3 linked regions of the Macaca fascicularis genome follow. The protein of the gene in region 1 interacts with the protein of each later gene in a pairwise test. Links are inferred from orthologs where the notes say so. Each region holds a gene or a part of one and is shown on either strand. Other genes may lie near its edges.

Region 1 (3,526 bases):
CACACCACCCATGCTAAGGGCCCCCAGACCTCCCATCCCACCATCCCCCGTCCTACGTGTTCTTGTATAACTCCAGCCTGAGGGCATCTCTCTCTTTGGTTAACTCCTTGTTGTACTGTAAACACAGAAAGGTTAAGTCAGGATATAGCAGGCAGAGGAGCAGCTGGCCGACCAGTAACAATAGCTACAGTAACTACTCCACAGTAACACTTCTTCACTCTCAATCACGCTTGACATGTTTTCAAGGCATTTCCAAGCCCACGGTCTCATTTTGTTGTTGTTGTTGTTGTTTTTGAGACAGAGTCTCGCTCTGTCACCCAGGCTGAAGTGCAGTGGTGAGATCTCAGCTCACAACCTCCGCCTCCCAGGTCCAAGTGACTCTCCTGCCTCAGCCTCCTGAGTAGTTGGGACTACAGGCACACGCCACCATGTCCGGCTAATTTGTTTTTGTTTTTGTTTTTCTGAGACGGAGTCTCACTCTGTCACCCAGGCTGGAGTGCAGTGGCGCCATCTCTGCTCAATGCAAGCTCTGCCTCCCAGGTTCACGCCATTCTCCTGCCTCAGCCTCCTAAGTAGCTGGGACTACAGGTGCCTGCCACCATACCTGGCTAATTTTTTTGTATTTTTAGTAGAGACGGGGTTTCACCATGTTAGCCAGGATGGTCTCGATCTCCTGACCTTGTGATCCACCCATCTCAGCCTCCCAAAGTACTGGGATAACAGGCGTGAGCTACCACGCCCAGCCTAATTTTTGTATTTTTAGTAGAGATGGGGTTTCACCATGTTGGCCCGGCTGGTCTTGAACTCCTGACCTCAAGTGATCCACCCGCCTCAACCTTCTAAAGTGTTGGAATTACAGGTGTGAGCCACCGTGCCCAGCTGGTCTCATTTGTTTTTAAAAGAACTTGGTAAGGGTGGCCGGGCGCGGTGGCTCACACCTGTAATCCCAGCATTTTGGGAGGCCAAGGTGGGTGGATCACGAGGTCAGAAGATCGAGACCATCCTGGCTAACACGGTGAAACCCCATCTCTACTTAAAAAAAAAAATACAAAAAGTTAGCCGGGCGTGGTGGCGGGTGCCTGTAATCCCAGCTACTTGGGAGGCTGAGGCAGGAGAATGGAGTGAACCCGGGAGACAGAGCTTGCAGTAAGCCAAGATGGCACCACTGCACTCCAGCCTGGGTGACAGAGTGAGACTCCGTCTCAAAAAAAAAAAAAAAAAAAGGCCGGGCGCAGTGGCTCACGCCTGTAATCCCAGCACTTTGGGAGGCCAAGACTGGCGGATCACGAGGTCAGGAGATCGAGACCATCCTGGCTAACACGGTGAAACCCCGTCTCTACCAAAAAAATATCAAAAACTAGCCGAGTGTGGTGGCAGGCGCCTGTAGTCCCAGCTACTTGGGAGGCTGAGGCAGGAGAATGGCCTAAATCCGGGAGGCGGAGCTTGCAGCGAGCTGAGATCCGGCCACTGCACTCCAGCCTGGGCAACAGAGCGAGACTCCGTCTCCAAAAAAAAAAAAATACAGAGCTTGGTAAGAGTGAAAGGGACAGGAAAAGACAGTGAATTTATGTATGTATGTATATATGTATTTATTTGAGATGGAGTCTCCCTCTGTCACCCAGGCTGAAATGCAATGGTGCCATCTTGGCTCACTGCAACCTCTGCCTCCCGGGGTCATGTGATTCTCCTACCTCAGGCTCCTGAGTACCTAGGATTACAGGCATGCACCACCACACCTGGCTAATTTTTGTATATTTATTTATTTATTTAGAAACGGAGTCTCCCTCTGTCACCCAGGCTGGAGGGCAGTGGTGTGATCTCGGCTCACTGCAACTTCCGCCCCCGGGTTCAAGCAATTCTCCTACCTCAGCCTCCCAAGTAGCTGGGATTACAGGCACCTGCCACCACACCTGGCTAATTTTTTGTATTTTTAGTAGAGACAGGGTTTTGCCATGTTGGTCAGGCTGGTCTCAAACCCCTGACCTCAGTTGACCTGCCCACCTCGGCCTCCCAAAGTGCTGGGATTACAGCTATAAGCCACCACACCTGGCCAAGATCGAATTTACAGCTGGCTAACAGAGGCCCAGAGAGATCAGATAATATTGCTATTGTTATTATCATTATTACTACCACTGTTTGAACCTTTATTGAGTGTTTCACCAGGCACCATGCTAATAATCCCATTTAATCCTCATAATCACCACATGAGACAGCTCACTGCAATATTATTACCTCTATTTTGTAGATGAAAAATATGTAGTATTAGAGGTTAAGTGTTTGCCTAAGATCACTTAGACAGAGCTGGGATTTGAATAGCCAGGTATATCTGACTCTCTAAGTTCATTTGTTCCCTGGGGGTGGGGGCACAGATAGGAAGAGGGAAATTAATCTTTTGTTCAATTTTTGAAAGGATCATACATTCGCATAGTCCAAAACTCTGAAGGTACAGAAGGGAAATATCTTCCAGCCATGCTGCTCCTCTCTCCTGAGTTTTTTATGAATCCTTGCAGACATGTTTTATGTATATTGTCACAGTACATATGTACAGACACACGGACACACACACAGACACACACACACACGTTCCCTCTCTCTACACAAATGGTAACATACTAAAGATACTCTTCTGTACCTTCACAGAACAAATACCACATTCCCCAACCTAGGACTTGGCCAAGGCCACAGCCAGGTAAGGGCAGGGCGGGCACTTGGCCTCTGAGCTCTGTGTCCAGTGTTCACTCCTCACAGTGCCCCCCCACCCACCCACAGCAGCTGACTCAGCCCCAGGATGCCTCTAACAACCACACACAAAAGCAGTGACAAATGGCCCATGCTGCCTTCTGGGCAGGACACTCAACCCTGCAGAAGAGACCTTTAGGCTCACTCCTCCACCTGGGAAGCCAGGCTGCCAGGGTTCGGGGCAGGCAGTTGGACTCACCCTGTCTGCTTTCTTCTGCTGCGTGGAGACAGCAGAGAGAGCCCGCTCCAACTCTCCCACACGCCTCCGGGAATACTGCAGGCGACTGGCCAGATCTTCGGACTCTCCTGGAATGAGAGAGGTTGAGATGGGGTCCAAAGGACTCACCCTAAAGGCCTGTCAAAGTGCCAGGTTGAAGGATGATGGGGTGCCCAGATTCCCACCTTCTTTCTGCCTGGCAGCATGCTGAGTGTGAGCCAGGGCTGTCTGTAACTCAGCTTTCTCTGATACGAGGATCCCTATGGTCTGAATGTGAACCTTTGGGAGGAAACCCAAGCAAGTGCTGAAAAAGAAGGAAAGAAACATTCTCCAGAGGACAGGGCGGAACTTCACCCCCTCCACTCACCTGTAACTGCTCCCTTAGGGCTCCCTGCTTTTGGTGGCATTCTTTCTTTTCCTACAGGAAGAGGAAGACAGAGCTCTTACTAGGGGGAGGCAGAGATGGCACAGCAAGGGACATGCCCCCAGAATGCCACCAATGCCCCAGGACCGGCCCACCCATGGGACCAGGTTATCAGGGACCCTGTGGGGATGGGGTGGAATCTTGGG
Region 2 (4,284 bases), on another chromosome or scaffold:
TCTTAAATATTTACACTCCTTACTGGACTGTAAGCTTCCTAACTTATAATCTGTCTTGTATAAGTGTGTATTGAATTCAATTTAATATATACAAACACTCAGAAGATAGAAAACCTTTACAATACGAGTATCTGTGATCTCAGTGCAGGGAAGGATTATTTTTTAAACGATATACCAAAAAACAAGCTAAAACTATAAAAGATCAAGTTGATAAATCTCACGCCTGTAACCCCAGCACTTTGTGAGGCCCAGGCGGGCGGATCACCTGAGGTCAGGAGTTTGAGACCACCCTGACCAACATGGAGAAGTCCCATCTGTACTAAAAATATAAAATCAGCTGGGTATGGTGGCCCATGCCTGTAATCCCAGCTACTCAGGAGGCTGAGGCAGGAGAATCGCTTGAACTCGGGAGGAGGAGGTTACAGTGAGCCGAGATGGTGCCATTGCACTCCAGCCTGGGCAACAAGAGTGAAAAAAAAAAAAAACAAAAAAGCCCAGCATCACTAGTAATCAGGGGAATGCAAATTAGAATAATGACATACCATTTCAACACCTGTCAGATTGGGCAAAAAATGTAAAAATTTGGTATAACCAAGTCTGTAGATGATGAATATATGGGAAATAAAGCTCTTAGGTTCTCTTTTTTTTTTTTTTTTTTTGAGACGGAGTCTCGCTGTGTCTCCCAGGCTGGAGTGCAGTGGCCTGATCTTGGCTCACTGCAAGCTCCGCCTCCCGGGTTCACGCCATTCTCCCGCCTCAGCCTCCCAAGTAGCTGAGACTACAGGCGCCCGCCACCACGCCCGGCTAGTTTTTTGTATTTTTAGTAGAGACGGGGTTTCACCATGTTAGCCAGGATAGTCTCGATCTCCTGACCTCGTGATCCACCCGCCTCGGCCTCCCAAAGTGCTGGGATTACAGGCTTGAGCCACCGCGCCCGGCCAAGCTCTTAGGTTCTCGAAGTTTGTTTTCCTTCTTTTCTTTTTTGAGATGGAGTCTTGCTGTGTTGGTCAGGCTGGAGTGCAGTGGCGTGATCTTAGCTCATTGCAACTTCTGCCTCCCAGGTTCAAGTGATTCTCCTGTCTCAGCCTTCCAAGCAGCTGGAATTACAGGCGTGTGCCATCACACCCGGCTAATTTTTGTATTTTTAGTAGAGACAGGGTTTCACCATGTTGGCCAGGCTAATCTTGAACTCCTGACCTCAGGTGATCCACCTGCCTCAGCCTCCCAAAGTGCTGGGATTACAGGCGTGAGCCACCAAGCTGGGCCTTAATTTTTAATTTTTTCTGTAGAGATGGGGGGGGCTTGCTATGTTGCTCAAGCTGGTCTTGAACTCCTGGCCTCAAGTGAGCCTCCTGCCTCAGCCTCCCAAAGTGCTGGGATTACAGGTGTGAGCCACTGTGCTCCACAAATTCTTATGTTCTTACAACTTACTTTGAGGAGCAATTGGCAGCAGGTACTAAATAATGCTAGTATTGGCTACAGAATGACAAATGCAGAACTGTTTTTTTTTTTCCTTTTTTGACACAGAGTCTCACACTGTGGCCCAGGCGGGAGGGCAATGGTGTGATCTCTGCTCACTGCGACCTCCACCTCCCGGGTTCAAGCAATTCTCCTGTCTCAGATTCCTAAGTAGTTGGGATTACAGGCACCCACCATCATACATGGCTAATTTTTTATATTTTTATTAGAGACGGGGTTTCACCATGTTGACCAGGCTGGTCTCGAACTCCTGACCTCAGGTGTTCTGCCCGCCTCAGCCTCCCAAAGTGCTGGGTTTACGGGCAGGAGACACCATGCCTGGCCGCAGCACTTTTTTAAACAACCGGACAACCACCTGCCCCTCAATAGGGAATAAACTGTGGATTACACTTTATTTTATACAATGGAATTCATAAGCTGTTAAGATGAATGAATTAGATGTATAGGGATTAAAAGATAATTCTTAAAAGCCATGTTGAGACTAGACACGGTGGCGTCTACTTGGGAGGCTGAGGCAGGAGGATAGCCTGAGCCCCAGGAGTTCGAGTCCAGCCTGGGCAGCATAAGTAGACTTCTACGGACAGCAAAAAAGGGACCGTATCCCGCACAAAGCCCTGCCAACAAGCAGTCTCTATCTATCTATCTAGTCTGATATTATGTATATATTCTGCTATATTCTGCTATATACTTAAGTTCCTAATTATTAGATTTATATATACTTAGTTCCTTAGTAATTATTAGACTAACAATACATATATTCTAGTATTTATATGTAATTAGTGATATTATATTCTAATCATTATATATATTAGAACAAAATCATATTCTAGAATACATGTATTAAACATATATATTCTGATATATACTTAATTTCCTAAGTAACGAATATTTTAATATATGTAATATACATTATATATATGTAACACAAGTCTAAGGAATTTGTGGAGGCTAAGAGAGGTGCTTGCTGAATATGAAAGCAGGCCACAGGAACAAGATTGGATGCAAGGGGATGGGGGTGGAAAGGTCCAAGAATCTGGGAGCCAGATCTTAAGAGCTGGAGGGGTTGGAGTGGTGTGTCCCAGAGGTCTGGAGGTTGCTGGGGCCGAAAGGGGTTAAAATTCGACTGGGAAGAGGGTGTCAGCACCGTACCTTTCTCATTGCGAACTGGGACGGCCCCAGCCGTAGACTGAATGGGCGGTTGCTTCATGAGAGCGCTTGGGACCGACATGTTGATGGCAGCGACGGTGATTCCCGAAACTTGACTAATTCCAAACAGTGAACACCAACAACGTCAACGAAGAGAAGAAATTCCTTCCACCTAAATCCACGAACACAGCGGCGCGACTGATAGAGAAACTACTTACGGCTGAGCTAGATAAACCGGAAATACGTGACGAGAGGATTGTGGGATGGTGGAGGACGTTTGGGCGCCCACAGCTAGGACGTTGAGTGTGTTTCTGCGCATGCTCATCGGCTGCCCGCGTGTTCTCTACGTTGCAGAATTTGGAAGCTGCTTTTGGAGGGAAATTTTGCTTCCTTTGGGCTTTGCTGTTAGGACCCTGCGGTGAGGAAGGTTCGAATGAAAGATTTTACGTGTTAGCTTGGTTTGAAGCCAAGAACGGTATAGTGAATAAGAAACTCAGGCGACAGTGAGTTACTGTTTGTCTGGCTTGTTGAAAGCTCAGAAGAAGTAGAGTTTGATGGAATAAAAATCTTGCCAGTAGTATCCGATTAGCTCAGTTCAAGAGGCCAGGGTGGGCTGTGGTGCAGTATTTGGTGTCACAGGGCGGGTGGTGCTGATTTAGGCCAGTGACCAAAAAAAAAAAAAAAAAAAAAAAAAATCTCTTAAGGTGCCTGGGACATTACCTGCCTGAAATCCCAAAACTCCACTTCTAGGCTTTCAGGTTTTTCCAGTTTCTGGAAAATACCTATTAGAATATATTCCTGATTGGAAAACGTTTGTATTTAAATATCTAAGTAATTATTATTATTTTGAGACAGGGTCTTCTTCTGTCACCCAGGCTGGAGTGTGGTGGCTCGATGTTGGCCTACTGCAGTCTCCACCTCCCGGGTTTAAGCGATTCTCGTGCCTCAGCCTTCTGAGTAGCTGGGATTACAGGTGCCCACCACCACGCCCTGCTGATTTTTGTATTTTTAGTAGAGATGAGGTTTGACCATGTTGGCCAGGCCCAAGAGATCATCCCACTCCGGCCTCCCACAGTGCTGAGTGGTGGCGTGTGCCACCACTCCCGGCTAATTTTTGTATTTTTAGTAGAGGTGGGGTTTCACCATGTTGCCCAGGCTGGTCTTGAACTCCTGACCTCAGATGATCCACCTACCTTGGCCTCCCCAAAGTGCTGGGACTACAGATGTAAGCCACGGCGGCCGGCCTATTTAAGAACTCTTTAAGGACTTACAGGATAATAACAGAAGCAGCGCCAATTTACAAGCTGGGTTGTGTTAAAAAAAAAAAAAATATATATATATATATGTATATATGCTAATTGGAAAGTCAGAGCACATTTCACATTAGAAAGGACTTTATAACTGCGGAGGAGACAAGGGACAGCAGGAACAAAGTTCTGAAGTCCAGAAACAGTATACATTATACAGGACACCATGAAAAGTTTGGTTTTATCAGTAATTTTTGAGTCATGGAGGGCCTTGAAGTTGCTGTTAATGTGATTAACCCAAATTACTTCACCTGTGTTCTACAACTGGGCCTTGAGTGGGAGAAGAAATGAAACTGGACAAGTCTCAGGCAAGAACAGTGTGGGACCCAATTAAGAAACTAAGGAAACAGTT
Region 3 (4,128 bases), on another chromosome or scaffold:
AATAACTGACAAAATAGGATACCTAAGTCACAGTGTCACCATGAGGCAAAATGAAACAATGGATATTAAAGTGTTCTGTGACGTGGAGAGTTCATTACAAATGCTAGTAGTTGAAACAGGATTTTTAAAACATAGAAATGAATTTATGATAGTTAACAAAATATTTAAAGTAGGTATCTTGCTATATATTCCATTTTTTCCATTTATCATTACCATGTTTTTCTCTTTCCATTATTATTATTATTAATTATTATTATTATTAGCTAACAGGGATCCTCAATCTCTTCTGTGAGGAGAAACACAATTTTATTTTTTATTTTCCAGGCCTGTGGGAATGGAAAAAGAAAGATGGTGAAGGGTTCAGGCAAAGTGCCTCCCAGCCCTATTTCCTGACACATTTCAGAGAGGCCAACTCAGGAGCCATCAGATGAAACTTCACATGTTTTAACTTCTTGACTTGAGGAGCCTCATTATAAATATACATTATGGCACTTTGCTTACAGTGTATTAAAGCTTATTACAGGGTATAGACCTATTTGTCTCTGCAATCACTTGCTTTAGACTACTGTGATTTTTAAAATCTATGTCTATTTTTAGGTTTTCTGTCTCCTCAGATAAAGAAGATAGACAATGAAGGAATCAATAGCTTAGGGAAAATGGCCCAGTGTTAACAGAACAAGCATTGTCCAGGGACCTACAGTCCAAGCTAGATGATGGTAAAAGTAAAACTTACAAATGAGTTTAAGTCTCCAGAATCAGGCAAATCAGCCCTGGGGACTGAAAGCATTTCTTGTCTCTTAGGTTTGAATATTCATGGAGAATGGTAGATTTACCAGAAAATTAGACATGAACAAACAAAGGTTTTGATTTGTGAAAAGCTTGATTCAAGAAATCAATTGTTTGTGAGTACTTAGCAAAGAAAGTGACAAAGGCCTTCTAAGCATGGACATAAGGCTACATAAACCTTAAATTCCTCCCTACATTAAAAAATCTTAAATAATGTGAAAAGACAAATGATAAACTAGGAATATATGTTACAACATACATGACAGGAAAGCGTTAATATTCTTAATCTATAAAGTACTCTTACAAGTCCATACTGCCCAATAAATAATAAGCAGTGGATGTGAACAGGCTGTTCATATAGAAAGAAATTCCAACAAACGCATAAAAGATACCTTTCTTTGCTTAGGAGAAATGTAATCACAAGTTCAAAGTGAACCTGTACAAGGATATTTTCCACAGTGTTGTTTGTGGAAGTGAGGAGCTGGAGGCAACTTAAGTTTGTAATTATTTCTCCTTACCACTCTTCAATTATCCAACCCGTATCTTCTATGGTTAGTTAGTTTTCAATAGATAAATGAGCAAATGATCATAAACTTGGGCTATTGAGTTTTCTTGATCTGGTTCCTGCTGCTCTACTTTAGTTCAAATTGTTCCCTGCAAAGTTTTCTGTGTACACTCTGTTCCCTCTCACTTCTGTCTTTATTCATCCTGTTTCCTATCCCTGGGCGTTTCCTGTCTTTGCTTGGGCAGTCATACTCATCCGGTCTCATCTTCTCCAGTTAACCTTTCCTCCTCTGTGTTCATACATATAATTACAAATAATACATGCTACAAAAGAAAAGCAAAGGGTTTTGAGTGAAAGTAAACATATTCATTGATTATTCAATGAATTCATTGAAATTAAGCATATTCATTATGTGCCAAGTGTTACAGTAAGGAGTGGGCATACAAATATGAGCAAGACACATTTTTGTAATTGCTGATTATCTATTATTTCCCTCAACTATGTTAGCACAGAAGTTCCAAGAGTGAAGGGGCTTTGTCTGTTTTGATTACATGGCATCCCCTTGTATGAGTTTCCTCACACTGTTTTCCCAGAAACAAGCCCGGAGTCTGGCACATAGTAGATGATCACTGAATGTGTGCTGGTTGCAAGAAGGAATCAATCTTATGTATTTCCTTTATGTTAGAACATATGTTAGCATATATATGTGCACACACACAGATATGGAAATAAAACATAATACACATGTATTTATGTATCTAAATCTCTGTCAGTTATGTTAGGATGACCTGGGAACATTTTTGAAAGTACGTAACATAGGGACTGAGATTGATGAATTACAGATACAGAAATCAATTCCAGCTAGTTTATTAGCCACCAAGGGGCAGGTTGGTGGAGTTGTGGTGCAAGCAATATGTGTTATTGACCGGCCTTCCCTGCCAGGGCGCTTCTTTCCTTGCACTGCTCCGGGTTAGCCAAAGGTGGGCTTCGGTAGACTCCCCAAGACCCTTAGTGTTGCCCTCCTGGACCGCGACTAGGACCAGGAAGTTCTCTCTCCCCAGAGGCTGTGCAAACCCCGAAGACCCTCCCACTGCTTGCGGGCCCGGACTGCGCTCCCACCTGAACCTCTCTTGACCCGCGGTATCCCAGATCTGGAGCTTGATGCGTTTTCCCGGCTCGATCTCCACCAAGCGGGAGAAAAAATCCACCCCCACGGTGGGGTCAGAAACCTGGGCAAAGCGACCCTCGGTGAAGCGGCGGATCAGGCAGGACTTGCCCACTGTGGAATCCCCGATGACAATGAGCCGGAACTGGTACAGCCAGATGGCCTCCATGGCCGCGGCTCTGCAGGTCTCCTTGGCTCGGACCCGGGACGGCGGGAGGGGGCGCCCCGCCGACGCCTCAGAGAGCGCGGCTCGGCAGGATCTAGCTCAGCCGCGAGCGCATCGCTGACCTGGGAACCCGAAGCTGGGTAGGCCCAGGCGCCCGGATAGCGGAGGGATGGATGCTGCGCTTGCAAAGGTGATGAAATGGCAGCAGCATCAGCACCACGCACTCTGACTCATCACTGACAACCGGGTTACTGTAATCCCCAGCGTAGATGCGACGCCTGGGCCGCCGCACTGTCTGTAAGAGGAGCGCACACAAAATGGCTGCAAAATTAGCGCGTTCCCTCCCTTTCTAATTACCCCACCCACCCTCTGTTAATTAAAAATGTTTTCTGTCGTTCAGACTGCAAATGTCATACCTTTTCATTGAAACTAGCAAAGCAATACAAAACTACTCAAGAAAGGGAAGGTACATAATTATATATTAGTCTACAAGTGTTTCCATGCTCACGTAAACACACAAATATTATATGTGTTTGTATTCCCATATACATTTATTGCTGTTTGTTTTTACAAAAATTAAACTGAGGCCTTACTTTCAATTAATAATTGCTTTCTGCAGTTAATAAAGCATCATAAATATCTTTCCATTTCCACCTAATTTCCCTTTTGTCATAACAATGCTGCAGTAAAGATTCTTTAAAGTGTAGTCACACGTATTTTATTTCTATGAGCTAGAGTCTTAAAAGAGAGGCCATGAATTCAAAGAGTATGAGTACTTTAAATTTAATGGACATGGCCATTCTACCTTTCAAAACTAGCAGTTTAAACTCTACCCAACAATGTGTGAAAAGGTCATTGCTCTGCATTATTTCAAGCATCATATGTATGTTTTATTCTTTCTTAATTCTTGTCAATAGAATGTAGTTAAATAAAAATATGTCTCATTGCTTTATTTTACATTTCTCTGACTACTGATGAGGTCAATAACAAGTCTTGTGTATTGACCACTTCATTTCCTCTTCTGGGAATTGTCTCTTCATATCCTTTGTATTTTTTGTGTGTAATCTTTTATCGTTGCCTTACTCTTTAAAAAACTCAGCCTTATTAACATGGAAATTCACATACTGCACAATTCACCCATTTAAAGTGAAAAATTCTTAGCATAGATTTTTAATATACTCACAGATATGTACAACTATCACCACGGTTAATTTTAGAACATTTTTATCACTTCAAAAAATAACCCAGAACCTTTTAGCTATCGTCTCTCTATCCCATGTTCCTCCAGCCTTTGGCAACCATTAATGTACTTTCTGTCTCTATAAATTTCTCTATTCTGAACATTTCATATACGTGTTATCACATAATATGTGCATTTTTGTGACTAGCTGCTTTCACTTAGCATAATGTTTTCAAGGTTCATTCACACTATAGCTAGTATCAGTACTTCATTCCTTTTTGTGGCTGAATACTATTCCATTGTATGGATAGACCACATCTTGTTTA

Evidence for each region. The genes of interacting proteins can lie anywhere in the genome.
Region 2: the proteins of GOLGA2 (region 1) and MFAP1 interact in binary tests that used the Homo sapiens proteins (3 or more experiments, as listed by UniProt). The two-hybrid records come from large-scale screens. The link is inferred for Macaca fascicularis from reciprocal best matches to the Homo sapiens genes GOLGA2 and MFAP1.
Region 3: the proteins of GOLGA2 (region 1) and RAB39B interact in binary tests that used the Homo sapiens proteins (3 or more experiments, as listed by UniProt). The two-hybrid records come from large-scale screens. The link is inferred for Macaca fascicularis from reciprocal best matches to the Homo sapiens genes GOLGA2 and RAB39B.

The regions. Positions count from the first base shown.
Region 1 is NC_088389.1:15,716,307-15,719,832, reverse strand, and holds part of GOLGA2 (golgin subfamily A member 2), read right to left. Parts: intron 3,375-3,526; coding exon 3,324-3,374; intron 3,236-3,323; coding exon 3,142-3,235; intron 3,046-3,141; coding exon 2,939-3,045; intron 116-2,938; coding exon 57-115; intron 1-56. UniProt on the Homo sapiens protein: Peripheral membrane component of the cis-Golgi stack that acts as a membrane skeleton that maintains the structure of the Golgi apparatus, and as a vesicle thether that facilitates vesicle fusion to the Golgi membrane.
Region 2 is NC_088381.1:20,408,760-20,413,043, forward strand, and holds the start of MFAP1 (microfibrillar-associated protein 1), read right to left. Parts: upstream 2,826-4,284; 5' UTR 2,708-2,825; coding exon 2,629-2,707; intron 1-2,628. UniProt on the Homo sapiens protein: Involved in pre-mRNA splicing as a component of the spliceosome.
Region 3 is NC_088395.1:161,375,242-161,379,369, forward strand, and holds the start of RAB39B (ras-related protein Rab-39B), read right to left. Parts: upstream 2,826-4,128; 5' UTR 2,626-2,825; coding exon 2,411-2,625; intron 1-2,410. UniProt on the Homo sapiens protein: The small GTPases Rab are key regulators of intracellular membrane trafficking, from the formation of transport vesicles to their fusion with membranes.